4 linked regions of the Struthio camelus genome follow. The protein of the gene in region 1 interacts with the protein of each later gene in a pairwise test. Links are inferred from orthologs where the notes say so. Each region holds a gene or a part of one and is shown on either strand. Other genes may lie near its edges.

Region 1 (7,427 bases):
AAATAAATTATCTATTTAAAACAAACACACATCCAGGTTTGGAGGAGAACTTGTTTTAAGGCTTCTGAGTATCTAATGTGGAATGCAAGTTTCCCATCGTTCAATCTCTAAAAGCATTCCTGAAACATCATAGCTCAGGTGTGAAGCCTCAAGTACATTAACTGTTTTAATATTTCATCTGTTTATTTAAATTAAATAGGAAGCATAAGATATTTTACTGGTTAGAGTGGGCTGGCAATTCAAATAACTTTTAATGATGTAATGCAAACTTGTAAATCATTTTCCGTGAGGGCCTCATAGTTCAGCACAGCTTTTATGTAATACACTAAATTGCTGGCATAGCTTTAAAATTTGTAATACTTGGAGATCATGAAAATTAGAACAGAATCCATATGTATACAGGAGAAGTAACTGAAAATATGGATTCAGGCTTAAAGCTTCTATAGATATGTTGTAGCCTTTAAACCAAAAATTGTATCTGATACGTATTAAACCATGGCACATGTAAATGCTAAAAAGAGTGGAATGGAAGTACACCACAGAAAAGAAATGTTCAGGTTATGTGGTGTGCTTGGCGGTAGTATAATTTCTCACAAAAACTGCTTTTATGGTGAAGTATAGTGAAGATACTGGCATAGTAGGTTTATGAATGGGAAATGCGATCATCATCCTTTTTAACTATGGAGGAATTCAGTATTTTTGACAAGCCCGTCAGCACATTATTCATTTTCTGCATAAGGCTTTTCAGTTAAGGCATCCAAGCATCTCTGAAACGATGCATAACTGTGGCTTTATTACTGCTTGTATCTATAGGTTTTCGTTACAGCCTAGGTATCAAGAGAAATGAATTATATTGCTTCTACGGGAGTTAAACGGGAAAATTTAGGGGAAAAAGAAAAGACTGAAAATAAACATACATCTGTTGTGAATCTGGATTGACTCTAAGGTTAAATAATGATGCCTGCCTTCACCAAATTGCCATGGAAAAATATGAACTGATCATAATTACAGTACAATAAAATCTCGTCCTCTTGCTTTGGTAGGCTCTTGAGTACAATAAAATCTTTGGCTAAAATAAACTGAATTCATATTTATAAGCTTTCTCTTTGACAGTAAGGAGCATATTCTCAAATGGCGAAAAATGTCATCTTTACGCTGACTTCTACAAAGCTATGACAGTTTATACCACTGAAATACTGGTCCGCAAGTATGACTATTTGTCTGATGTTCTCGTAGTATGCATATATTAGAAAGCTGCGCACTAGAAAGAAGTGTACAAGAATCTTGCTTATACTCTGATAAATACTCAGGAAGATGGTGCATTTAGCCTCCAGCGTAAAAGATTGAGCGAGACTACGGAAGTCCTGAAGCTGAGGAACTCTACGCTGATTCATTCAGGTCAATTTTTATGTGATCCCTTTTACCATAAATGGTAAATTAAAACAAAACAAAACCCAAAAAATAAAGCAAATGCAAATATGAGCCTGTATATGAAAATATAAATGATGTCCCAAACTATTTTGGCTACGGATGTTTTTAAGAGTTAAACAGTTTACTGTTTTCGTATGTTTAAAACATTCTATTTTTTCATTTGATGTTGTAAGCTTTGGGCAAACTTGTTGGCATTGATTTAAGTTATGCTTTTGTACCACATGTAGGTCAAACACACATTCTAAAAAGATACAACATGAATGAGAATCCAATCAATAATATTGAGAGGTAATAACTGTTTACACTTTCTTCAGTAAATATTTCAGTGAAAAGCTTTGCAGTGGAATTTTCTTTGTCAGAAAAGTTGCACGTTTTTTACAAAGGATGGCATAGTATATAGTTATTTGATAACTCCATAGAGAAACTTCTGAGGATATTTCAGTAAACGTTTGATGTTGTTTATTCATGTCAACATTAATTGCCTATATTTGCATTCTGCTTATATTATTTAAAATGAAAACATAAGGCTCTACAGAAATTTGTACTTCCAGCTCTTGTGTGCTTAAAAACTCTCATTGAAGAAGAAATAAGAACACTTGATGTAGGACTTGTGTACTTATTAGGGGAATTAAGATCCAAAGGAGATACAGTCCCCAATATTCGGATTTGATTATGAAGCTAATGGCGAATGCTTAGCTCTGTCATTATTACTTTGTTGTTGGGCTTTTTTCTTCTTCTTCACCTTTCGGAGCCCTTCCTACCTCTGCCTAAAAAGTGCTATTTGGCTCCGTCTCTTATTTCTCCGGGAAACCTAATCTTTCTCCCTCCCCCTCGTACCCTCTCGCTGTCTTCATTGTACTTCACTTATTTCGCTTTTTATCCTCGAGAAATCCTGTGCGGCCATCCCCTAGAATTTAAAGGAAAAAAAAGGGGGGGGGGGGCATTCTTACACCGGCGCGGCTCTGGCACTTCCCCAGCCCCGTCGCAGCTGTGTCGGGGTCAGGGCTGCCGCGACGGCGGCGGTGGCAGGAGGGGTGCTGGCACTCCTGCCCCCCCGGCGCGGCCCGGCGCGGCGCCGTCCCCCCCGACGGCGGCGTGCCGGCGGCAGCAGGTTGACGGGGCGCGCCGCGCCCGCCTGCCCCCGCGGAGGGCCGCGCAGCGCGGAGGCCGCCGGGGGATGGGGGGGAGCCGCCGGCCGCCGCTGCCGGGGCTCCCACCTGGGGCCGCCTGCGCCGCCCGCCCGCCGCGGAGCCGGCGGCGCCTCGGGCCGCCCCGACGGGGACACGGCCCCGGGCGAGCTGGCTGCGGCTCGCCTGCAGCTCGAAGCGCGAGGCACCGCGCTCGGCGAGGATCGCCCAGCTCTTGCTGCGTGACACCCCGCTACTTCTTAGGGACAACGGCATCACTGTTCTCACAGCCCTGCGAGTTAACAAAACCAAGAGTAGTTCAGCCATTGCGTTCGCTTTGCGCTCCCTTCTTTTAATATTAGAGCACATATTGAAACGATAAACACAATGAAAAGCACAAAATATTTCATCAGTGTTGTAACTGTATATTTCCTTTATTCTGAAGAAATATCAAGTTTTGAACAGTGCACAGAGGCAGCAACTTCTGCTTTGGACGCCACGCTCTTTTTAAAGACCGCATTGTTACACTTAAATCTAAAGACAATTTTTCAAAAGCATTAGATCTCAGAAAAGGGGGGAAAATCTTACCGTCGAAAGACTGCTACAGGTTCCAGCTCAGTCTGAAACTGCAGGGAAAAGTGGAGCAGCTGCTGAACAAAAGTTTTAGTTTTTTTTCAGAAAGTCTGCAAAACTAATTTCCCACAAAATAGGACTCAATTTCCGTTTAAGAAACTAGCTCTTGCAAATCTCATACAATTCCTGATTTTTTCCAATAGCAATTGAAATTCATTTTATCTTTCGCACATGGGCCCAAGAATTTAGACTTGAATGGCAGGAACGTAATGGTTTTGTATGTGTGCGTGTTTTTTTTTTTTTTAATTTTGATTTGGGAGGAGGAGGAGGAGGAAGGTAGACCGAGGAGGAAGGGCTAAGCAACAAAATACTTTCGCAGTGGGCACCTCTTGGGCAATGATCAATAAATACGTTATCGTCATTTAGACCAGTTAACTGCCTTCTTCGTGGCTACTGTTAATTCCACTACAAGCATGTTAAAAGGAAAAAAGCCAAGCACCGACTCTCTAGCCGGTCCCTCTTGAGTCACTAAAGACCGCAACGAAGAAAATGAAGATATAGAGAATAAAAATAATGTGAGTTCTTGCTTTGAAGGGGCAGGGGGCAAAGAAGGAAACTGTCTTTCCTCGACCATGTTTCGTAGCTCGTTAAGCGCCGGTTATTTCGTTGCAACCCTGCCTGCCGGCCCCGGCAGGTCCTGTGCGCCCAAGGCCAAGTGCGGAGGTAGGTGCGGGCACCCCGCGGAGGGCGGCAGGCCACCTCGGGCGCTGCAGATGCGACACGGGGGCAGAGCGAGGGGCGGGAAGCGCCGCGGCCGGACCCGCGCTCCCCCGCGCTCGGAGGACCGCGGCCGCCGCGGCGCCCGCCCGCCCACCTGGGAGCGCAGGTGAGGGGCCTCGCCGGCCCCTTTCGGCCCCCGAGAAAAGGTGCCGGCGCTAGCCCCGGCCCCCCCCCCCGACCCGGGCTCCCGCTGCCCCCTCAGAATAACCCCCGCGGACTGTGCTTCACGTGTTTATTGCGCTCCTCCGCTGGCTTTCCAGGGGGCGGTGGCACTCGGAGAGGCCCCGACGGGGCGGTGATGGCCCCGCGCGGGGCCGCACGGCTGCGGGGGCACCGCCGCCCCCCGGGGCCGCCCCGCCGAGCCCCGCGGCGCCGGGGCGCGCTCCCCCCCGGCCCGCCCGGGGGCAGGCAGGGGCGGGCTGCGCCCCCGCGGAGCCGGGCCGGCCCCCCTTCCCCCACCCCCCGCGGCTGCCGCGGGCGCCCGGGGCGCGGGCGCGCAGCGCTGCCGCCCGCTGACGGAGCGGCTCGGCGCGGGGACGGCGCTGGCGTTTTGGAGGGAGTTTGCATGTGGTCAGTGCTGTGCTCCTAAGCCAGCCCCCAGCTCACATTACACACTACTGTATTTATAACCTCTGAGAGCTGTTTCCCCCTTCAAGCAGTTCTCTGGGACCACCTTCTATTGGCTTCAACCTCTCCCACTTCTTGACATCTGAGCAGCTCTGAGAAAGGCTCATCTAGGTCCGAGTGTTTATGCAGCGGAGACTGGCCACTAGGGCTAAAGACCTGGATTATCTGAGCTCAGCTGCCTGCTGCAAAGTCTGTCGTTGCCGTTTTGGAAAAAAAAATCCCAACCCCGATCTGTTTACAGTGAAAGTTGACAAAGGGTGGTGAAGTTGGATCTTTCCTAAACTCTCCTGCCTGGAACCTGAGACTTGCATGCCATGGATCACACACTCTTTGGCTGCCTGCGCAGCCCCCATGCCACTGCGCAGAGCTTGCACCCTTTCTCCCAGTCTTCTCTTGCCCTGCATGGAAGATCTGACCACATGTCCTACCCTGATCTGTCTTCTTCTTCTTCCTCTTGCATAATAGCGGGATACCCCAATGAGGAGGGCATGTTTGCCAGCCAGCATCATAGGGGGCACCACCACCACCACCACCATCACCACCACCACCACCAGCAACAGCAGCACCAGGCTTTGCAGACGAACTGGCACATTCCTCAGATGTCGTCTCCTCCCGCCGCGGCCAGGCACAGCCTCTGCCTTCAGCCCGACTCAGGAGGACCCCCGGAGCTGGGCAGCAGCCCCCCCGTCCTCTGTTCAAACTCTTCCAGCCTGGGCACTAACACCCCGACGGGGGCAGCGTGTGCGCCAGGGGACTATGGCAGGCAAGCTCTGTCCCCGGTGGAAACAGAGAAGAGGTCCGGCAAAAGGAAAAGCGACAGCTCAGGTAACGGCTCACGCTTTGCCGTGCGGGCGGGACCCCCGGGCGGAGGGTGCCGGGGGGTGCGGCGCTGCCGGGCCGCGGGTCCCCCGCCGCCGCGGGGCTCTGGCCGCCCGCTGACACCGGGCTCCCGGGTCGCGTCTTCACTCAAACGCGCTCTCGAGAGCTCCATCATTAAAGCAAGCTTTTTTAGGGCTACGGGGCAAAAATAAAAAGGAGAAAGCCAGCACGTGATAGAGCATGAAATCGGGGGGAAGGGGGTGGGCGAGTTTCGTATAGTCCAGGAGAGAAACGTTTGTAGTTTTGACGAGGAAATTTTAGCATCTGGTGCCGTGTTCCCCTTCTCCCCCCCCCCCCCGCCCAGCGCCCGATACACCACCTCTGCTGCAAAATTCAGAATAGAGCGCGCTCGCTTCCCCTCCCGCCCCTTCCCCCGCGGCGCTCACCGCAGCTCCGCGGCGGCTGCACAGCGCCGGGACGCTTCGCCCCGCAGCGCGGCCGCGGCAGATCCGCGGCCCGGCCGGGGCCGAGCCGGGAGTCCCTCCGCCAAACGGGGGAACTGGCGTCTCAGACCGCGAGTTCAGCTGAGCGTCCTTGTGCCGGGGGCGGAGGGAAGGAAGGAGCTGTCGGACTTTGAAACGCACCACGATTTTTCACTCCAAGACGAGCATAAAAACGTGCAGACCCGCGGTCGTGGCGGGATGATGATTAGGCATCGCTAAGCGTGCAAACGAACTGCCAAAATCTCTGCTTTTAGCATGGCCAAGCCAGTCACAGCCCCATACTGACAAAAGGCATTCCGCGACGGCAGTGCGATGGATGGCACTTCCGTTGCAGCAGATACAAACTGAAGGCTCATCTAAGCTACACTGAGACAGGCAGTAGGCACTTGAAAAAGAGAGTACTCAACATTTTGAAAACTCAGGAGCGGGCATAGCGAGTTTCTTGGTTGCTACCAAGCAAGGGAAAGTGAAAGGATTTTGCAGATATTTATGAAGTTCACTGCTGAAACTGTGACCTCTTTCACTTGAAATATTTTGAGCTTGGTGAGCTGGTAAGCAATAGAAACTATTTTAAAAAAGTACTTCAAGGACACTGTCATTTTGTTCATTACCCATTACGTTAGGAAATGTTTACAGTGATTCAGGATGGGTTTAACTTTATTTTATCGTATGTAGCTGGTATATGGGTTTTAAAACCGCCAAGATTGAAAGCCATATTTTGTAAAACACTTGTAGCAAAATCTATTGTTGCATCTTCACTACATTTTGTGGAATAAAAGGAATTCTCTGATTCTGTGAGGTCTATGAGCAGTACTAAAATTTGTGTCCCCATTGCTACTGGAAAATAACTGGATGCCTGTTTGTGTAAGGCTTTATTATCTTTTGTCAGACTGTTTAAAGCTAAAAGAAAAAAAAGATATTGATGCCTTTCACTGTCAGGGAAATGTCTGCATTGCTTTCTGTTTATTCCATTTTGCAATGCAAATGCAAAAAGCAGCGGGGAATGTCTCAGACCTCATCCTGAAGCCACTGGAGTCTTCCATGGGATTTAGTGGACAAGAGCGCAAGCCTTTAGTCGTGATTATGTTTATATTGCACTGTACTCCGAACTTCACTTTCTAAGACTTTCTGAAGATCAAGGCAGGTAACTATTTCCTCCTCCCTTCCCTTAAGAAAAAAATATATGTCCGTTCACACGATTAGGAGTCTCTCAAACTGAAAGTTGGTGCCTTTTGACGACAACTGAGTTGCCAGAGAATCTTCGGTTTTTCTTCAGGAAAAAACTGACTTTTGGACCGACCTTTTAACCCCACCCCTTTATTAAACCTGAACTATGGTGCTAGATATTTAACGTCCTTCTAATGTATGGCAGCAAGAACTATTTGAGTCAATGTGTTTCTGTATTTGTCATCCATAATCGCTCCTAATTTGAATAAAAATTATCTCCTACTTTTCCCATTAATCCGTTTTTTAAACAAATCACCATACTTTAAAGAATCCCGTCCTCCCCCTCCCCACTTATGAGACATAATCATCACACTTGGAAGTACTTCAATAGGCGTTTGTA
Region 2 (6,969 bases), on another chromosome or scaffold:
GTGATCCAGGCCATGGTGCGCAGGCGGGGATGGTGGCCCAGGCCGTGGTGTGCACCCTGCGATGGTGGCCCAGGCCGTGGTGCACAGGCAGGGATGGTGGCCCAGGCCGTGGTGCACTGGCAGGGATGGTGATCCAGGTCGTGGTGCGCAAGCGGGGATGGTGGCCCAGGCCGTGGTGCACTGGCAGGGATGGTGATCCAGGCCGTGGTGCGCAGGCGGGGAATGGTGATCCAGGCCATGGGGCGCAGGCGGGGATGGTGATCCAGGTCGTGGTGCGCAGGCGGGGATGGTGGCCCAGGTCGTGGTGCGCAAGCGGGGATGGTGGCCCAGGCCGTGGTGCACTGGCAGGGATGGTGATCCAGGCCGTGGTGCGCAGGCGGGGAATGGTGATCCAGGTCGTGGTGCGCAAGCGGGGATGGTGGCCCAGGCCGTGGTGCACTGGCAGGGATGGTGATCCAGGCCGTGGTGCGCAGGCGGGGATGGTGATCCAGGCCATGGGGCGCAGGCGGGGATGGTGATCCAGGTCGTGGTGCGCAGGCGGGGATGGTGATCCAGGTCGTGGTGCACAGGCAGGGATGGTGATCCAGGTCGTGGTGCGCAGGCGGGGCGTGCAAGCTCTCTGGGGAGCCTGCGCCGGGCGGCCCTGCGCTGGCGAGCTGGCAGCCACATGCAGGCAGCAGGCTGGCTGATCTCGCCTGGCCCCTGCACAGACACATTAGTGCAACGAGCAGCTCCGGTGTCCAGCTAATGGAGCAGCTGGCGGGGGGCCAGGCTGCTCAGTGCGGGGCCCGCTGCCTGCCCAGCCGGGGTGCCCCACCGCCCTGGGGGCTGCTGGCACCGCGGTGTCTCTGCAGCCCGCCGGTGGCCCAGGACCCTCCGGCCAGGGCCAGCCCTGGCGTCAGCTGCCTTGGCAGGGGCCAGCTCCCAGCTCCCCCGGCCGAGGGCTGCGTGGGGAGGGCCCTGCCCTGTGCCCCTGCTCGGGTCCGCAGCAGCCGGGTGCCGAAGGGCCAAGATGCCCCAGGAGGGCGACGGGACCCCGCGCCCCGGCTGCGGGGCTGGTGAAGGAGCCTCCATCCCAGCCTTGGCCCCGAGGAGCTCATTAGTGATGCTCCCGCCTCCCGCTCCCGGTCCCTGCGGAGCAGGGCAGTAAGTGCAGGAGGCTCTAATGGCTCCAAGAAGCTCTTGATGGGCCGGTGATGGAGGCGGGAGCAGGAGGGGCTGCGGTTTCGCCTCAGACAGCGCTGGGGCTGCCGGTGCCCCCAGCACGGCCGGGAAGATGCTGAGCGGGCTCCTGCTGGGGCTGCTCCTCTCGGCGGCGGCGTGCCCCGGGCTCCTGGGGACAGGTAGGGCCCCGCTCGGTGCCACGGCCAGGTGCCGTCCCCCGCGGCCTGTCGAGGCGTCGAGGTGGCGTGGGCTCGGCCACGGGAGCTGTGACCCCGCGCCCGGCTGCCCCACGGCGGCGCGTCAGTGGGGTGAGGCGCGGTGCCACGGGGTGGTGGGGACGGGGAGCACGGGGCCGTCGGGGGGCCGCTCCGCCGGCCGGGGGTTCGCCCCGTCCCTTCCACCGAGGCTGCGTGCCGGGGGGGGCTGTTTCCCTGCCGTCCGGGCCCGGCGGCGGGCCGGGGGGCAGCGGCGGGGCCGCAGCCCCTCTCCTCCGCGTTCGCCCTTGGCCAGCGCCGTGGGTCGCGGGCCGCCGCCCCGTCCCCGCCCGTCCCGTCCCGCCCCGCCCTGGCGGGGAGCCGCCGCCCCGCGGAGCGGCCGGAGCTGAGCCCGGTCCGGGGCGGCTCCGCTCGGGGCTCGGCGCTGCGCGGGGGGGGGGGGGGACCCGCGGCGGGGGGGACCCGCGCGGCCCCGGCCCGGCTCCCGGGAGCGCGGAGCGCTGGCCGGTGCCGCCAGCGCCCGCCTCGCCCCGGCAGCGGCCGGCGGCAGCCTGCACCTCTGCGAGGGCTACGCGGGCCCCGACGGGCGCTACCACGCCGGCTTCTACTGCCCGCGGCTCGGCGACCCGGCCGGCCACCGCTACTGCTGCCGGCCCGGCCCGCGCGCCCTCAAGTCCTGCTGCCCCCGCCCGGCCCCGGAGGCCCCCGCCGGGGCGAACGGCTCCAGCGCGCCGGCCGCCGGCCCGCTCAGGTGGGCGCCGACCCCCGACCCCGACCCCGACCCCCGGCCCCGGCCCCGGCCCCGGCCCTGAGCCGCCTCCCCGGCCAGGAACCCGCTGGCGCTGCCCTTCGTGGGGCTCTACGGCCTCCTCGTCCTGCTGCTCGCGGCCGTCGACCTCCTGCACTTCTGCCGGCTCCAGCGGGGCCGCCCGCCGCCCCCGGCTGCCCGCGCGGAGGGATGAGCGCCCGGCGCCGCGGCCCCCTCCCCTCCGCTCCGCTCCGCTGCGGCCGGGGGGCGCCGGGGCACGGCCGGGGCGCCCCCCCGCAGGGCTCGGGGTGCCGGGCCCGGCAGCAGCGGCTGGCAGCCGCGGGCCCCGGCACGGCGCCTGCTCGAAGGGGCGCGGCGGGCGGGGGGGGGTCGGGGCGGCACCCGCGGGAGCGCACCGGGGGCAGCGGGGGCACCCAGGGGGATACACGGGGGACAGTGGGGGCACGCTAGGGTGCACTGGCGCACCTGGGGGGGTATATGGGTGACAAAGGGGGCACAGTAGGGTGCACTGGGGCATCCAGGGGGGTACATGGGGGACAAGGGGGGCACACCAGGGTACACTGGGAACCCCCTTGGGGCACCTGGGGGGACATAGGGGGAACACCAGGGTGCGATAGGAACACCCCTAGGGGCACGTGGGAGACAATCGGGGCACAGTAGAGTGCAATGGGGGCACCCAGGGGGCACATGGTGGGCACACCAGGGTGCAATGGGAACATCCTTAGGGGCACACAGGGCACAATGGGAGCACACTAGGGTGCAATGGGGACACCCATGGCGGCACATATGGGGCAATGGGGGAACACGGAGGGGCAGCGGGAGCACCGAGGGGTGCAATGGGCAGCACCCATAGGGGTATGGGAGCTGTAATGGGGGCACCTATAGGGGTGCGCATGGTGGGTGCAATGGGGACATTCAGGGGCATGCATGGGGGGTGCAATGGGGACACCCTTGGAGGCATATGGGGGGTGCAATGGGGACACCCATGGAGGTACATGGGGGCGCACACGGGGGTGCAATGGGGACACCCTTGGAGGCATATGGGGGGTGCAATGGGGACACCCTTGGAGGCACATGGGGGCGCACACGGAGGCACAAGGCGCGCGCAACGGGGTCGCGGCGGCAGCGCGCGCAGATTGCGCGCACGCGCGCTGCGGCCGGGGCCGGGGCGCCCCCTGGGGGCGCGCGGGGGCGCTGCAGGCTCGAGCCCGCCCCGCCCCCGGGGACTCGTCACGTGACGCGGGGGGGGGCGTTCCGGGTTCCCCGGGCGATCGGCGGTGACGTCACGGGCGCGGCGCGATGGAGGCGGCGGTGAGCGGGGCCGGGGGGGGCCGGGGGGGGCCTGACCGGGGTGCTGGGACCGGGACCGGGGGGGACTTGGGGGTCGGGAGGGCCCTGGGCGGGACCGGGGGGCCGGGACCAGTGGGACTGGGCGAGGCTGATGGGACCGGGGGGGGAGCTGGCCGGGACCGGGGGGGCCGGGGGGGAGCTGGCCGGAACCGGGGGGGCCGGGGGGGAGCTGGCCGGGACCGGGGGGGCCGGGGGGGCCTGGCCGGGACCGGGGGGGCCTGACCGGGACCGAGGGGACTGGGGGGGAGCTGCCCGGGACTGGGGGGACCGGGGGGGGGGACTAGGGGGACTGAGACCGGGACTGGAACCAGGGGGACTGGGTAGAGCTGGCTGGGACCGGGGGAGCCTGGGTGGGACCGGGGGGACCGGGAATGGCCTGGCTCTTACTAGGGGGGGCTGACCAGGCCTGGCTGTGACTGGGGGGAGCTGGCCAGGACCGGGGGAGCCAGGGGGGTGCAGTCGTGACCGATGGGGTGGGGAGGGCCTGAGGGGGGGCCTGGCGTGGACCAGGGTGTTGTGGTGGGGCCGGGCAGCTGCGGGGCGAGGGCCTTTCCCGGGAGCCCCTCACAGATACCCGTCCCGGGCCCATCCCCGGGCTGTCGGGGCAATGGGGGCCCGTCCCAAGGGCCTGTCACTGCCCCGTCCTCAGGGCTGACGGGGCGATGGCTGTCTGTCCTAGGAGCTGTCATCGCCCCGTCCCCGGGGCAGCTGGGGCGACGAGGTTTGTCCCGGGCCCATCCCTGGGGCAGTCTGGAGGGTCGTGACCTGTCCCAGGTCCGTCCCTGCATGGCATGGATGGGGTGGGGACCCTTTTCCAGGGATCCCCCCAGGCAGTGCCCCTGTCCCACCCCGGTGCTGGTCTCGCAGGTGACGGCGGGGCAGCTGCGCGAGCAGGGCAACGCGCTGTTCCAGGCGGGGGACCACGCTGCGGCCCTTGCCGCCTACACGCAGGCGCTGAGCCTCTGCGATGCCGAGTCGGAGAGAGCCGTGCTGCACCGCAACCGCGCCGCCTGCCACCTGAAGCTGGTGAGAGCGGGGGCGGGCGGGCGTCACCGTGCGCCCTGCAGGAACCGACCTGTCCGGACTGGCCTGCCGGGGCGTGCTGCTGCTCCGGCCTCTCCGGAGCTGCCTGGTAGTGTCCTGTCCCTCCCTAAGAGGCGGGTAACTCTCCGTGCCAGCAGGTAGCAGAGCAGAGTGACCAGGGTGGCCAAGTAGTATATCTCCTTGAACTGATGCTGCGGAAACATCTGTTTTCCAGGGCCCTTAGGACCCTTCCTTCTTGTTGCATTGGCTGCCTGCCCTGCTTCCTCTGCTCTTCTCTTCTCCTGGTCTATCTGATGCTGTCCCACCTCTTTAGTGGGCTGTCTGGGCCTGGGCAGCACACTACTGTCCATGTCAAAGATGCACAGATGCTCTGCGTTGGGTCCCCAGACAGTCACAGTGTCTCTGGTCTGCTGGCGTGGAACGGTCTCTGAAGCAAGTGGGAAACACAGATGGATAGGGAGCGCCATTGCAGTGGGCACTCAAAGGGCACGAGGCGGGGGCTTATGGCTCCTCAGGAACCCTTGTGAAGGCTGTGTTCCTGCGAAGGGCCAGATGCCCCGTCATACCGGTTCATTGTCCTCGGTGACTGTGTTTCCATTCTCAAACCCCCACGGTCATTTCCCTACACGCTCCTCTAAAGAGTCTGGTGCTGCCTCTGCCCACAAGCTGGGGTGCATGTGACCTACATGTCTACCTGTGGGCAGTGAGGCAGGCCGTTTCCTTCTCACCAGTTCTTTCTCTGCAGGAAGACTACGCCAAGGCAGAAGCTGATGCATCTAAAGGTACTGTCGGAGCATGGCTGGTAGGAGACCGGTCTCTGTGTGCTGCCTGTCTGTTGAGGCAGAGAGGAGTGGTCCAAGGGCTCTGCGACGCATCTCTCGCTTGTCCTCAGCCATCGAAGCCAATGGACGGGACGTGAAGGCGTTGTTCCGCCGTAGCCAGGCGCTGCAGAAGCTGGGCCGCTTGGACCAGGCTGTCAGTGACTTGCAGAGGTGTGTGAGCCTGGAGCCCAGGAACAAGGCCTTTCAGGAGGCGCTGCGCACCCTGGGGAGCAGCATGCATGAGAAGGTGAGCTGGGGAGACCACTGGTAGGGCTGGCTGTGTGCTGCTGTTGTGGAGCGCTGCAGGTATGGTCTGTTCAGGGGAATGGTGAGGGTTGAGCTGCTGTTTCTGATCTTTCAGATGAGGACAATGTCCTGCACGGACTCTAAGGTGGACCAGATGTTTCAGATCTTACTGGATCCTGAAGAAAAGGATGCAGACAAGAAGCAGAAGGTCTGAACTCTAGGGAGCAGAGGGGGATATGGCTTGGACGGAAGGCAAGGAGGGGGAGGAATTACCCTTCCTGACTCAGCGCTGCTGGCTGAACTGTGCTACCCTGCGGGGGCAGAATGTGCTCTGCAAGGGTTGGGGTGGAAGGCGGGTGCTCGTGGCTGCCCTGGTTACCTGGCAAGCTCCTGTGGGGCAGGTTCCCTGCTCACAGTGAGCTCCATTCCGTGGCTGAGCCGCCCCGATATGTGGGCTGGCGCCCCAAACATGACTCTCCTCTCCTAGGCTGCGCAGAACCTGATTGTGCTGGCACGAGAGGAGGCCGGAGCAGAGAAAATCTTCCAAAGCGATGGCGTGCGGCTGCTGACGCGGCTCCTCGACACGGCCAAAGCTGACATGATGCTGGCGGCCCTGCGCACCCTGGTGGGGTTGTGCTCCGGGCACCGCTCCCGGGTAGGTCACATCATAGCTTCTCCTGCTCGATGAGGCCTGGCCCGGGGGGCCTGATATCTGGGCGGCTGTGAAGCGTGTCAGGCAGGGAAGCGTGGCTGGCCTCTGCCTGTGGATAGCTGCAGCCCTGCTGAGCAGTAGAGCCCTCAGCTGTCACCCCACCAGGCCCAAGCTTAAGGGAGCCTTGTTGTGACAGGAAACCATCTGGAGATGGTGCTGAGGAGTGCCAAGGCTTCCCTGAAGTCTCCAGCAGACAGCTGTGCTTGTACTTGCAGACCACGGCCATCCTGGCGGAACTGGGTGCCCCTCGTCTTTCAGCAGTGCTGGGTGTGGAGCATGAGCAGGTTTCTCTGGCTGCCTGCAACCTGCTGCAGGTGATGTTTGATTCCCTGAAGGAAGGGATGCAGAAGGACTTCCGTGGAAAGGAGGATGCAGTGGTGCTAGGTAAGGTTCTGCCTGCCCCAGCTAGCTACCGTGGCCGTAGTGTGTAGTGGGCTGGGGGTTCTTCTCCCTCTACCTGCCTTGCCACTGCTCCCTGATGGACTCAGAGCCAGGGACTCAAGTCCAAGGTTAATATGGCCTTGAGCTGGGAGCGGGGATCCCCTGATTGTGGCAGCATCTCCTGCCAGCCTTGCCACGATGGGGGTGAGGCCCCTGTCCAGGGCACTGACCACTGGGCACTCTCTCTCCTGGAAGATTCCTCCAAGG
Region 3 (6,933 bases), on another chromosome or scaffold:
CTGTCCCAGACTCCTTGTCTCAGTCAAGTACTTTCTCTCTTCATCTCCTCTGTTTTTTGTCTCCTCTGCATGCAAGGCAGGAGGCTTTCCTCCTTTGCATTGCCAGAGGGCTCATTAAAGACTGCTGTCAATTATAGTGCTCACTCCCGCATTGATGGACAAGAAGTGGGAACAGCAACTGCTAGATAAAAGTCATGCTTTGCGATAGCCCCTTTACATAGAGTCTCTGCAGTAGGAGCAGTGAGAGGCATGCCCAGTGAGGGTGAATAATCTTGAGATATTAGCTGCTGAACTCAAAAAAGTATCTACTGTAATGTGAAAACTGTCACTCAAAATTTGGCCATATGTAGGAAGCTTTTCATGAGAACAGCAAAGTCATGTGCCCAATATGTTGGGCACGCTCTGTTTCAAAGCGTAAGTTTACTGGTGCTTGTGAAGGAAAAAGCTGCTAATATTGTTGATCATGCGCAAAACTAGAGTTCCATTAAAAAGAAAAAAACTTTCCTAATTCTCCCTAAAAGCAGCTGAAGTTGAAAATAAACAAAATCAGAGGCAAGCCCGCAGCACGGAAAACTGCAGATTAAAGAACTGTGTATCAGCAAATTGAGTTGTAAGATGGCTGGTGTCAAGCGACCTCACAGCACTCTTCACAAAAACCGGTGCTGTCTGAAACCTTGGAAATCTAAACATTCATTTGGATTCCAAAAGCGTCCCTGTTTCTGAGGCCATTGCAAACCTTAGATGATGCGCTGACACAACCTCCCCCTTTGAAGCCCTCTCTTCTCTTCCTTGAAGAGTATTTTTTCTTCTATTCTGCTTCAGATTTTCCCACTCCCAGATCTGCCGAACATGTACCTCCAGCTCCTTCTGAAAACATCCTCTGTTCTGGCAGATCTTCAGGGCCCAACACGTCTGCTCATAGGACTTCTTCTTGTAGGACTTAGGGCTGCCGCTTACTTCAAATAGATCTGCCTTCTGCAGCTTCCTCATTAATTATGCCCCCAGAGTGCATAACACATCTCTGGAGCACTGGTCTGCAAAATTCAAATGGAAAAGGGCTGGAAAGCTGAAATGAAGCACAGCCCAGCTTTAGAGGCTGCCAGAGCCAGTGAGCTGGAGGAATTTTCAGAAAAAGGGGAAGGACTAGAAAGAGAAGACGAGCTTCAAGAGGTAGTAGGCAAAATAGCAAGAACAGAGGCAATTAGACCAAATAGGAGGAAAGTGAGAACAGAGATGGAGGTCAGCCACTAACTATATCAGAATCATCTTGAATTAACAGTGGAGGGGGGATGTAAGGATTAGCACCAATAAATAAAGGGCAAGACAGAGGCACATTGAAGCTTGCATTTTGAGCAGTCAGTCGGATATTGATCATAGCAGAGGGGTGAGAATGAGGAAAAGAAATGAGATAAAAGGTACAGGTTGTGATGACAGTGATGGAAAAGACCAATTTAGTGTCCTTGCTCACAGATGATAAAATTTTCCCCTGAGCACGGTGTGTACAGACAAGCTATCTGGCCTCCCATAGTGTAGAGAGGCAAGCCCAGCTACCAACCGTATGCGGCCTGTAACCCACGTACAGTAGGTATGCTGGGATAAAACACACCCCTGCTGATAGTCCTCCAACACTCTCTCAGTGCTCATGTGGTGCCCAGACTCCTTACCTCCCAGCCCACTGGGAAAGAAGCAGCTTAAATTAGTACAAGGCATGGGTTAGGAATACAGGAATTGTCACTCTTCCGGGGAAGGAGTGCAGTTCCCCGTACAGATGTGGCTGTGATAATGCACTCAGCAAAACTTTGCAATTTTGGGTTCACCTTCAACCCAGCTCAGGCGTGCAGCTCCCACATCAGCCATGATTGCCCGTCCCCGATGGGCTCAGCAAAGAGGATTCCTTGCTCATAAAGAAAATGCCCCGGGGCAGTAAGTTCCTCCTTTTTCAGAGGCTGTTTTCAGGTACAGTATAGCTTTGGCAACCTTTTTGTGAGGCTATAAGACACAATGCAGCATTCTGAAGAGATGTTTGGACCCATATATCCAGAGGAAAACGGTGTATTTATCATGTCTACCAGTTCCTAGCGTCTTTGACGCATCTGTGCAAAATGTTGTGTCACATAAGCAAAGTTGGAAGTAGATAATGAAATGTAACAGTAGCACGATTTTATTTTTTGCTTACAGTTTTTGTGTCAGAATCCCCCAAAACATACACATGCATCTATAGCAGGAAAGAAGGCAGTCAAGACAATAGTAAAAATGCACTGAGAAAAGACCACAACACACATTTTTTATTTATCCTCTTCAAAAAAACAAACCAAAAGTGCAAAAGGTTCAGTTTTTGTGACCCATTGATTGCTAAGTACTTTAGTAAGGTGGCCACTCATGATTAAATACACTTCAAACATTCCAAATATAGGAAGAGAGCTAACTTGTATAATTACCACTGAACGAATCAATAAGGAAGGCTAATCGCTAGAGGAGACTGAATGCCATATTCAGTGAATGTAGATTTATGAACATTAGCTGCAAGACGTAACCTTCTGGGCCTAATACTGCTCCTACGGAATCCAATGAGAGCGTTGACCGTGGTTACAGCAGAAGGATCAGGTCCTGCTTTTGATAAAGAGTGAGCTGTTATCTGCAAAATTCCTAGGGAAGGTAAGCCACACAGCGGTCTCGAAACTACAAACGGGGGTAAATAGTACGTTGTAATATATTCAGCACGTGATAACGCAAACTACAGGGGAAACACAACAGGGAAAAACTAATAGCTGGCAAGCAAATTTTTGGAGGTATAGAAAAACGAGGAAGTAGAGAGTGGGTTTCCCCATTTTTCTCCTTTAAAATGAATCAGAAGATACAGAAAGTTGTTGCCTATTAATACGATACTGCTGTTTGGGCGGAAAATGAATTAACTTGATGCAGAGAATAGTTAAATAAGGGGTGCACAGCTTGCGCGGCTTGCATTTCACATTTCTGCTTTAATTTTATTAGAAGAGTGGTTCTACTGGTAGGAGCACTGTTCTTGGTGGGGGGGGGGGCACTCCATGTTACCATATGACTTTGTGCCAAACATTTAACCTCTCACACTTCGGGTCTCCGTGACAAGGCGAACGGTGGTTGCCTGGTTCTGTAGGACATCTTAGGTTCCTCAGAGGAAAACATGTTTTGAAACGTTAACAGCACTTCTCACACCCAGATCCCCTTACACACAGTGAGGAAACCTCACGGCGCCTCGTTAGATTTTTGTATGGGCTCACTCTAACTTTCGGACGACTAACGCGCAGATATAGCGTGTTCAAAGCCACTGCGGTGGCTCCACGTTGAGTCTGGAAGCAACCGTTGGGGCTCACGCGGCCACCAGCTCACTTCCACCCCGCCGCGCTGCGCCCCCACCGCTCCTGCCGCCTCACCCTCGCGGCCCACGGGCAACCACCGACTTGGTGAGGCCGCGCGCGCCGGGTGGCGGCAGCCTTCGCAGCGCGCTCCTCCTCGGCCGGCCGCGACACGCCGCGCCCTGCGGCGGCCTTGGCCCGCCCCCCCCTCCTCCCCCACGCGTGGGGTTTGGCGGGCGTTTCGACGCCCGATAACGCCCAGCCGCGTTGGTAAGGTAAGGGCGGGAGGGCGCCGCGAGGTCACCACGCCGCCCAGGCCGGCTGTCCTCCCCGCCGCCCCGCGTGTCCCCCCGCGCCCACCGCCACCGCGGCGGCCCGGCCCCGCCGCGGGCCTCGCCGGACCGGACCGGACCGGGCCGGACCGGGCCGGGCCGAACCGGGCCGGGCCGGCGCCCCCCGCGGGGCGGCGCGGGGCGGCGGCGCGGAGGCCATTTCCCCTCGCCCTCCGCGCCGCCGCCGGGCGGGAGCGCGGGAGGGAGGGGAGAGGAGGGAGGGAGGGAGGGAGGGAGAGAGAGGGAGGTGACCGAGGCTGACTGGAGTGAGGCGCTCAGCTGCCAACACTCACACACACTGCCTGCCGCTGCTGCTGCGCTGCTCCTGGGCTCCGGGCAAGACGGGGGAGAGCGAGAGGGACGGCGAGGAAAATAAAGAAGAGGAAGAGGAGGCAGGCGGTCATTAGCAAGGGGAGAGCTGAGAGAGGAGGGAAGAGAAGGCGACCTCCCTCCCCTGCGGAGAGAAGACTTTCCGTGTAGCTGGGGAAAGAGGGAGAAGGCTGGAGCTCAGAAACTGTGCGAGAAGCTTTCCAAGCAAGTTACTTAATCCCCGAAGAGCAGAGGGAGGAGGGGAGAGCGGTCATCACCGCTGCTGATAATAACTGTTATTCCCGGCCCCCGGTAGTTTAGCCCCCCAGGCGGTTCAATGCACTATTCCAAGCTCTTCCTCGTCTCCTCCTCGGGGTAACTTCGCCGCCGGTGCCGCCGGGGGGTGAGGAGCAGAGCCGCGGAAGAAGGAAGGCGAAGTTTGGCGGGGGCTGCGCGCGGAGCAGAGGAAGATGGGCTGGAAGCGCCGCTGCTGCGGGGGAGGCGGCGGCGGAGGGGACCTGCTCTGCCTGCTCACCCTGGTGCTGGGCTTCCTGCTGCCCGCCTGCAGGACGCGCCTCTACACCAACCACTGGGCTGTGCGGATCGCTGGGGGGCTCCCGGAGGCCAACAGGATAGCTAGCAAGTACGGATACGTCAATATAGGACAGGTAACCCGCCTTACAACTACTTCTGCGCAGGCGGCGCCGCTCCCGCCCGCCGGGCAGGCACCGTCCGCTGCCCCCGCCGCGGGCCCCGCCAGCGCCGCCGCCGCTGCCGCCGCGCCCCGGCCCGGCCCGGCCCGGCCCGGCGAGCGGCCGCGGGGCGCGGGGGCAGGTAGCGGGGCGCCGCGCCGGGGCGGTGGCCGGGGCCGGGGCCGGGGGGGAGGGCGGCGGGGGCTAAACTCTTCCCCCCCCCCCGAAAAAAAAAAAACCCAAATCGGAATGAAACACCGGTTCGTCCTTCGCGAGCCCGTGGTGCCCGCGGAGCCGGGACGTGGCAGCGGCCGCCGGGGGCTCCCGCCCCGCTCTGGGCGGCGGCGGGGCGGGGGGCCGCGGCCGCGCGGCCCGCGGGTGCCTGGGCTCTGCCCCGCCGGCGCGGCGTGCCCGCGCCTCCGTGCGGCGGCGGCGGCGCTGCCCGCGGCTCGGCTGACAGCGGGCGAGGGGCGAAGGCGGCCCGTAGGTGCCAGCGCGGCCAAGGTAGGATCGGGCAGGTCTCCCCTGGGCTCCGCCGGGCAACACCTGGATGCCGCAGGAGCCGCAGATGTGCAGCGAGAGGACACCTGGAACGGGCCCGCTCCAGGAATCCGTCCGTGAGAAAATTCCTGGATCCAGACGGATCCAGGAACGGCAAGTGAGGAAACACCTGGTTCCCCCTAGATCCAGTCACGCTGGAAAATCTGCTGCTGCTGCATCTAGGCGCTGCTGCTGCTGCTGAAAAATGTCATAAGATCGCCTTTTTTTTTTTTCTGACAAATTTGCCGCCGCGGTATGCTAGGCTTTCCTGACATTTAGCCTCAAAATGTGAGTCACGTATGTAGGGCATAGCAAGTTGAATGCCTAAAAAATAAACAGTTCTGTCGCATGCCTGTGTGCGAACATCCAGGCACGATTTTTCTAGACAGTAGTTTATACTACGTGAATTCAGAGTTTAGAAACAAGCATTTGCAGGTACAGAAGGCTTCATCCTATACATGAGATTTGCAAAATTACAGTTGCGTTAGTGCAACAGGCCTTTTACATCCACCGGCTGAAAGTGACGCGTATCTGGTTGTTATTTGTGTTGTATCACTAAGGCAAAAGTTTGAAGCGTGCATCTCAACCGTTCCCGATTACTGCCCACCTGAATAAGACAGCTGTGCAATTTATTCATACGAATAATTTACGTAAGAGAAGCCAGACTGCAGCAGTACAATACATGATGTATACAGATGCAGATCTTTAGGAAGGCTGAGCGCCAGCTTCCCCCTTGGAACGCTTGGGCAGGTAGGTAAGGCTATTCCCATTCGGAGGGACAGAAATTCATGAGGAAGTTTTTGTGTCCAGATTGAATCCATACCTTGAAAGTGCCCTTTTTAGAAGATGAAGGAATCCAAGAGCAAAGTTTTTTGCACCCATGTGTTTTGCTTTTGCCTTATGCATGTCTTTCACACAAGGTGTTTTTTGTATATTCCTGTTTGGACCTTTAAAGTGCTGAAATAAGTAGCAGTTAGCTGATGAGAGGATTCACTTCTTCCTCTTTTGTCTTTTGCCAGGCCAGCTGGCCAACTTAAGGCCTGCTTTTTTATCCCTTGCACATCCAGACCTCCTGCTGGATTAAGGAAAGAATATACTAAGCTGCTGTGGTCTTCTTGTGTGTCAGTGAAGTGCCATGTACACACACCTATGACATATTAATAATAGATACGTTACTGATCAGGTGTACAGATAGGAATGAGGGAAAATAGCGGCCATGAATAATGAACAACTGGAAAATACTTTACGAGGTATACAGATGAAAAGAGGACATACGTGAAGGGAGTCAGTACTGCTAGTTACGTACATAGGGAGAATGCAAGGCGACGAGTATAATACTGTTAACTGATGCCTGTGTGAGAAAGAAAACTTTGCTAATAATATGAACTACGCTGATGGGTGGTTCCTAGTCTTCTGACTGCTACCAACTGCTGAACATAGGAAGCTGGCGGCGGGCACGCACACAGATAGTCCGCAGAGCTTCCTGTATGTATTTTGGATTGGTGTAACCAAGTGCTAGATGTCATTCTGTCCTTCCAGTGCAGAGCTCAGAGCTCAACTGTTGTGCAGTTAAGAGGTCTTATGCGTTTGCAGAGACTTAACGCAGAGCTGCCTTTCATGAGTGTCTGTTTAGGATGGCCAGTTTTAGGTTTCTGATCATTCCTAGCAAAATCATCTGCAAATGGTATTTCTGTGTTGGCATTTTCATTAGTACTAGGTGGGCGTTCT
Region 4 (6,872 bases), on another chromosome or scaffold:
GCATAAAACAATCCACAACATTTTGCATATTTGAAAATAGTAAGATGGACAGGAGGGAAATCAAAAGCCTTTTTTAAAATAGTAAACTGTTTGCTTTTTAGGTCAATATGTATGTTGTCACATAGAAAATTTAAAGATTCAGCTGCACAGCGTTCCTCCTCTCCACTTTTTCCTGCATGACCAAGATCAAGGGTTTCAGATAATTTACTTATTTTCAGAAGCAAACACTTCTACTGCAATATATGCCCAAAGTCAAGAATCATACAAACTCCACATTTCCAAGCTGAGTAGAATATTTTGACACTTCATTTCACTTTTTGCCATCAAACAGGCAGAAGTGCAAGTGTCTTACAAATGAGTTTGGAAAAGTGCTGTGTGATGTTCCAGAATCACATTCATAGTAAATGCTTTTCATATTTTAATGTTGCTTATTTGATTAACAAACTCCATTGTATTCTTCATATAAATGCTAAATCCAACATCAACAATAAATCAATCTGTGAAGGAAAGAATTTTATTAGAAATTGAAAGCTAGACTTTCATGGTTTGATTCCAACATTCTAAGTTTCAGCACTCCAGCAATGTTACCAGAGTAATCCATTGTGCGAAAAAGAAGGAAAAGGACTGAGATTTAACTTCTCTCTCTCTCAGGTAAAAAGGTTTCTTCGTCTACTTATCACATGTGCAAGCTGTTAAATAATAAGTTAGGACCAAAAGTTACTTTTCAAAGATGGTACAAGAGATTTTATCATGTACAATATTAGCCCTAAATCTTAATTTTAGTTTCTTCCCTTTTCCGCAGAGTAAAGCTGCTTGAATACACTGTGTAGTACGCAACTTAAAGGGAAAGAAAAATGTTATTTTAGAGCGTTTGAAAATATCAGTGGTCCAATTATGGACCTAAAAATATAGTTTTACTTCTTATTCCATCAGCATGTTAAAAATCTTATCAAATTTTGAGTATATATTGGGTTTTCCTCTTAGAAAGTGCTTCACTATAGCTAAGGAGAGTAAAGAAACCTTCATGCTGTTTATATATGCTAATTCTAACACTCTGTCAGAGATAATATTTGTATTACTCTGCTTATATTTTGAAACTCATCAACCTTAGTAAATTAATTGTAAATTCTAAAAACATTGCTCGTAGTCCATCCATTTATAAGAGGATCACATACAAATCCCGAAGAGAGACTATACAGCCATGTAAGAATTTTCAGAAACTTGTAAAAGGGTATTTTAAAAATAACACTACTATCTATGTTTATAACTACTTGCTTCGTAGGAAATTAGAAAACATTTCAGAAATTTATTTCAGACTATAATTTGGAAATGTTTAGTGACAATTTGTGTCAGGAACAGTTTCTTCTCAGTGCCAGAAGGCCCTCTCAACATCCCACTTATGTGAAACGAGTTTTTAACCGTGCCACAAGCACAACACACGTATGATGCTGCGACACACTGCTGAAAAGGCAAAGAAAAAAGTGTCAATCAAACAGTGTAAGACAGAGCTGTTTACCTGCAAAAAAATATTTCGCAGTTCAGCAGGATCTGCTCTCTTAGTTGATTGCACCTGTAAATAAAAGTAAGTTAATGCTTCACTAGCTGAGCTACTGACAGAGTTTAGAAAAAACCTGCAATCTGTGCTGATAAGGGCAACAAATACCAGTTCTCTTATCTAACCGATAAGGAGAATCTCAGACATCAAACCCTTCCTTTTTATTGCTCGACTCCAAAACGAGTCGAGCACCGCTGACAGCTGTCAAACCGGCGGGGCACCGCCCGCCGCCGAGGCCCGCGCCCGCCGCCCCGCAGCGACCGTTACCGCCCGCGCGCCCCGGGCAACGGCCGCCCCGGGCCCGCGCCCCCGCTTCGCCTCAGAGGGCGGAGGCAGGCCAGGCTGCGCGGCCCCTGCCGGCCGGCGCCCCGCCATCACCGCCCCCGCCGGGGCTGCCCGCGGGGCTCCCTCCCGCCGCCCGGCCGCCCCTCGGCCAGCCGCCCGGGCCGGCGGAGCGGCCGCCCGCCTCCTTCGGCGATAAGCGACGGAGGGCGAGAGTCACCTTGACCGCCATGCTGCGCCCGGCGAGGAGGAGCAGGAGGAGGAGGAGCCGCCCGGCGCTACCCACCCGCCGCGCCGCCGCACCAGCCGCCGCCTCGGCGCCGCGCTAATGAGCGCCCTGCCCTGTCCTGCCCCGCCCGGCCCGGCCCGCTCCCCGCGCAGGGCTCCCCTCGGCGGCCGCGGCCCGCCGGCCCCGCCGCTCCAGCCGGCAGCAGGCTGCCTGAGGCCGCCCAGGCGGCGTGTGGCGCCCCTTCCTCCCTCCAAACAGGGGCAACAGGAGCGCAGCCGCCGGCCCCTCTGTGGGGCTGCTGGCTCTGGAGCCGCTCCACTGGGGTGCGCGTGCAGCCGCAACCGTAATCGTGCAAAACAGGAATTTCTAAAACGCTGCTGACAGGCCTTTCTGGCTCGAGGGAAGCAGCCGTTCCCTTGAAGGTCAGGAAAGCGATACCTGTTGATTGCAAGCGATGTCACTTTCTGCAAAAGCGCTCTAGCAGTGAAGAGCTGGTAGCCTCATATTTAAACAAAGAAACAGAAGTATAACGTAGTCAGTTCTGGACAGCTTCTGACAAACTCTCCTACCTTAAACAGGAGGACACACTGACTGACGCACGTTGTACCTCAAAACGAAAAAACAGGCAAGCCACATCCTCAAGAAAGGAGGCATTTATACTTTCTTTGGACAGTTCAACCACAATAAATGCTTGCAAAACCTGAATTTAAAAAGAATGCACGTTTTGTCATGCTATACCGTAATTCTCAGAGCCCAGCAAGATCTCTTCTGTTAGATATCACTGGAAAGCATAAAAATGACTACTTTTGTACTCCAGATAACAGAGTGGGATATAAAACTACAATAAATAGTACTAATGGTAAAGCTACTAATGGTAAAACTGAATATTTGTCCTTAGTTTAGTTAAAATGTAACAGTGGCATCGAGCCCATATAGCCTGTATATGAAGACAAAAATGGAAGTAGAAGAGATTTGTTTACTACTTCCAAAACTGCAATGGAAGATTCTATATATTTTAAAGTCTTATTCACAGAGGATTAATTTTAACATTGTATTTAGTAAACTGGTGAGAGGGGAGATCTAAATCCACCCTTTCCTAAAGCACGGAGGACATTCAGTTGTCAAACGCAATGACACTTCTACATCAGAAACCAATGTGACTGCTTGCCAGTTGTGCAGCAGTTGAGGGTTAAGTTACTTATTTGGTGTTCCAGGCCAAGCAGAGAACAGAGGGCATAATCTCCACATGGCTTAAATTAGAATTGGATAAACTGGGTGCTTTATCTGGACTGGCCCTCGACCGTGCTGCGGACAGATATACCGCATAACCTCACACTTGTTCTCTGTCATAGTTCTGGGCCGCTGCTCAAATACTAACCTTCAGATAAAGCCTGTTTGACTCATACTAAAATGGACTCCTGATAGATTAAAATACCGGTAAGCTTTGAAAAGCGGCAGGGCAGCCAGCAGCAAGGTGTCTCCTCATAGGCCAGAGGTGCAGCTGCCTGAGGGGTTTCGCGGCTGTCGCCTCACAGGCCGGGCTGGGACCTTCCGTCAGGCGGCGCCAGGGCCGTGGGGACGCGGGAGAGCGGGACGCCGCCGCCGGCCGGCCCTGCGGGAGCCCAGCCGGCCGCGGCCGCGCCAACCGCCGGACGGGGCCACAAGCGCTGCAGGGCGGCGCGGGCAACGCAGGTGCGAGGCCGAGGCCGAGGCCGAGGCACTGCGCATGTGCGCCGGCCCGGCAGGGGAGGGTCGGCTGCTCGGGGGGCGGGGACATGCAAATAAGCTCTTTAACGGGTCCCGCGAGGAGGGCGTAGCGCGCAGGGCGGTGCCGAGCATGCGCGCTCGCGTGCTAGGCGGCGGTGGCGGCTGCTGCAGCAGCAGCGGTGCCGTCCGCTCCCCGGCCGTATTTCGGCGGGCGGAAGCGGAAGTGTTTGTGTGTGCTCTCATTTCCGGTGAGTGGGCGCGCGGGTTGATTCGTTCTGCCTGGGTGACTTGGCCGCCGCCGCTCGGAAATGGCGGGTAAGTCCGCGCCGCCGCCCTGCCCTGCCCTACCCGGCCCTGAGCGGCCCCGCCGGTCTGGGCCGGGCTCCGGGGGCTCGGCTGGGCCTGCCCGGCCCTGCCCTGCCCTGCCCTGCCCGCGGAGGGGCGGTGGCTCGGCCGGGCCCCGGGGCTGCGGGAGTTGGGGGGGAGGGAGGGGCGCAGCCGCCCTGCTGCCGCCCTGCTGCCGCCCCGCCGGCGGCCGGGCCGGTGCCGCCCGCAGCAAGCGGGGCGGGGCGGGGGTCAGCGGGGGCCCCCCGAGGGCGCCGGGGGGGGAGGGCAGCGCCCTCGAGCTCGTGATCCCCGCACCTAGTGCGGAGCCGCAGCGCCGCTCCCTTTCTGCTGTCTTCCTGAGGGAATCCTTGGTTTTATTTAAAGTTTGCTATGAATAATCTGAAACTAGAGGGGAAAAACTTTCTGAGGAGGCTTCTGGAATGAACCTTGGATAGCCATGGGGAGGAAAGCCTTAAAACACTTGAAAAATACCTTACTAGGTGACAAATGTTTTGTATGCTGGAATGTACTTTGGAAAGCAGAGCAGATTTAACTTGTTACTCATTTCTGTTCTGCTTCAAAAAAAAAAAAGTGGTAATTAGGTAATTATTGGTGGTATGTATGCTACAGTTGAGAACCCCTGTCTGTGAAAATGATTGCAGTAAGGTGCCTAGTATTAGCTACAGAGACATACTTTTTCAGGAGTTCTTTGCTTTAGTCTGCTTGGTGCTGTTGGGGGGGTGGGGGGGGGCTTTCCTGAATTGTTGTAAATCTATGAAGAGGAAGTAGCTAGTGCCCTTTTATTTAGGGTCTTGAAACAAACAACTTTATTTTCAAATGCCTTTTTTGTTTAACGCTTTGAGATTAGGGCTTTGCCTTTCCTGAGGAGCTGTGCAAAAGATGGGAAAACAAATAGCAATGCAATACAACAAATACTTTGGAATAGTATGAGATATACTAATGTATGCATGCTCTGTTAAGAAAACATGAGGAAAAGAGAAAGTTATTTTAGTCCTGTGCTTATTGACCAGTGATCTGCCACCAGGCTTCTCCCTCAGTCTGCTTACTTTTTCACATACCTATCTGCCTGTTTTTGCAAAACACTTTATTGTCAAACACTTTATTGTCACAGAACAGATTTGCCTTTGTCTTATTAAGACAAAGCAATGCAGCCTTAAAGAGTAGGAAGGATGAAAAGCTAGAAGTTACAAGAGAGGCAGTGGATTCTGATATAAAGTCTTGATGTTACAAAAACATGCTCTCTATGTGCCTGGTGTTTGCTTTTAGTTTTACTTTTTAATTCTGAGATTGTATTCCCCCACCCCCTACCCCCAATTACTTTTTCAGGCAGAGGTATTCCTTCCATGTTTGGTGGGGGTTTTTGGGAGGGGGTTGTTTTTTCTTCAAATCATTGAGTCCTTGGTCTTAAAAGAATTTCAGCTTCCTGTACTGATGTAGGTGCAGAGGCAGCCCAGTAAAGTAAGACCTATGTACGTGTCTGAGCATTTCTTAATTATATTATTTATATGTTCAATTTATGTTTCGGGGAAAATATAAAGGATAGTCTTCTCATAATTGCTTTTTATTTGATATTCTGCTGGATGAGACACAGAAATCTTTGTACAGTGCCATTGAAGTTTTCAGTAAATGGGTTGCTGCAAAGAAGCTTGCAGCCAACTGAGCTTGTGTCTCTGTTTAGGAAAAGTGCTCTTTGAGGTTGTCACACAGAAGTTATAATCTCTCATTTCCCGTTTGTAAAATAAGCATGTTTCTTGAAGTTGTAATGAAGAAACTGGCAGGTGGGGTATAAGCAGTACTGAGAATTTCTTGCTTCTGTTCTAGTGGCTGAGCCAAGTATGTGTGCTGTTTCTTGTTTGCTGCCTTGTATGAGTATTCCAATTTAGTTTGGTTCTGTTGCTGGGGAGAGGGAAGGAAAACTTGTAACAATCAAGCATATACTGTGCTTACTTGTTACCTTCATTTTGTAGAAGTTTTTTGAATAGTTATGCTTCTATAAGCTTAAAGTCATGCTTACAGAAGATGACATGCAATTTGTGTAGAACGGTATGGTTATTATGAAAACAGGTTTGTCTTGTGCCTCATAAAAGTAGAAATACCCACAAGAAGTAGGGATTCTTCCATGCAGATACACTTGTAGGCTCCCTGAGAAAGCATGACGTTTGACCATGGTTTCATGTAGATCAAAGTGTCACAAAGACATGATTCTTTAACTTTTGCAAGGATGTAATGGCAGGCATAACAGTGCTTGTCCAATAAGGCCCTGATCCTCTCTGAGGCTTCTGGGCACTTTTGCTGTCCAAAGAAGTAATAAGAAATTATAATTAGGATGAGCTGGATGGTTTTTACATTCTGAAGTTAAAATGCATGTGCTAGTTTCTAGAAACATCTGTTAGACTGAATTCTTAGTTTTTTGTTCCAGCTTTGAAAGATGTTTTTATTGGTAATAACGTCATTTTAAATCTTTTGACTATAACTCCGTTCTGAGAAACTAGAAAGGGAGATAACTGTGGTCTGTTTCCTAGTTCTTGTTTCTAGGTCCAGAAAAGTTTGTGAGGTAATCCAAATATTCCTTTTAAATTTTGAGTACATATTGAACAGATAGGTTTAAAAAAAAAAAAAAAAGCCATAGTATTTGTGGTGGTGTCCTTCTGTTTTTGAAAATCTTCTTCTAAATATGTTCCTTGAATAACAGTGATACAAGTTTGTGTGCGTCATTAAAACTTTCTTAAAACCTTTCTCTTCAGGGCTTAC

The links.
Region 2: the proteins of MEOX2 (region 1) and UNC45A interact in binary tests that used the Homo sapiens proteins (3 or more experiments, as listed by UniProt). The two-hybrid records come from large-scale screens. The link is inferred for Struthio camelus from reciprocal best matches to the Homo sapiens genes MEOX2 and UNC45A.
Region 3: the proteins of MEOX2 (region 1) and PCSK5 interact in binary tests that used the Homo sapiens proteins (3 or more experiments, as listed by UniProt). The two-hybrid records come from large-scale screens. The link is inferred for Struthio camelus from reciprocal best matches to the Homo sapiens genes MEOX2 and PCSK5.
Region 4: the proteins of MEOX2 (region 1) and HAT1 interact in binary tests that used the Homo sapiens proteins (3 or more experiments, as listed by UniProt). The two-hybrid records come from large-scale screens. The link is inferred for Struthio camelus from reciprocal best matches to the Homo sapiens genes MEOX2 and HAT1.

What each region holds. Positions count from the first base shown.
Region 1 is NC_090943.1:33,643,147-33,650,573, reverse strand, and holds the start of MEOX2 (homeobox protein MOX-2), read left to right. Parts: upstream 1-4,422; 5' UTR 4,423-4,852; coding exon 4,853-5,363; intron 5,364-7,427. UniProt on the Homo sapiens protein: Mesodermal transcription factor that plays a key role in somitogenesis and somitogenesis and limb muscle differentiation. Required during limb development for normal appendicular muscle formation and for the normal regulation of myogenic genes.
Region 2 is NC_090953.1:537,241-544,209, forward strand, and holds the start of UNC45A (protein unc-45 homolog A), read left to right. Parts: upstream 1-3,951; 5' UTR 3,952-3,966; coding exon 3,967-4,272; intron 4,273-4,365; coding exon 4,366-4,524; intron 4,525-5,287; coding exon 5,288-5,324; intron 5,325-5,434; coding exon 5,435-5,610; intron 5,611-5,724; coding exon 5,725-5,817; intron 5,818-6,096; coding exon 6,097-6,264; intron 6,265-6,536; coding exon 6,537-6,705; intron 6,706-6,957; coding exon 6,958-6,969.
Region 3 is NC_090982.1:28,163,188-28,170,120, forward strand, and holds the start of PCSK5 (proprotein convertase subtilisin/kexin type 5), read left to right. Parts: upstream 1-3,923; 5' UTR 3,924-4,443; coding exon 4,444-4,641; intron 4,642-6,933. UniProt on the Homo sapiens protein: Serine endoprotease that processes various proproteins by cleavage at paired basic amino acids, recognizing the RXXX[KR]R consensus motif. Likely functions in the constitutive and regulated secretory pathways.
Region 4 is NC_090947.1:22,834,120-22,840,991, reverse strand, and holds the start of HAT1 (histone acetyltransferase type B catalytic subunit), read left to right. Parts: upstream 1-3,867; 5' UTR 3,868-3,903; coding exon 3,904-4,021; exon of another isoform or gene 4,022-4,081; coding exon of another isoform or gene 4,082-4,088; intron 4,089-6,865; coding exon 6,866-6,872. Other genes in the region: SLC25A12 (electrogenic aspartate/glutamate antiporter SLC25A12, mitochondrial), read right to left, coding at 1,517-1,570, 3,502-3,552. UniProt on the Homo sapiens protein: Histone acetyltransferase that plays a role in different biological processes including cell cycle progression, glucose metabolism, histone production or DNA damage repair. Coordinates histone production and acetylation via H4 promoter binding.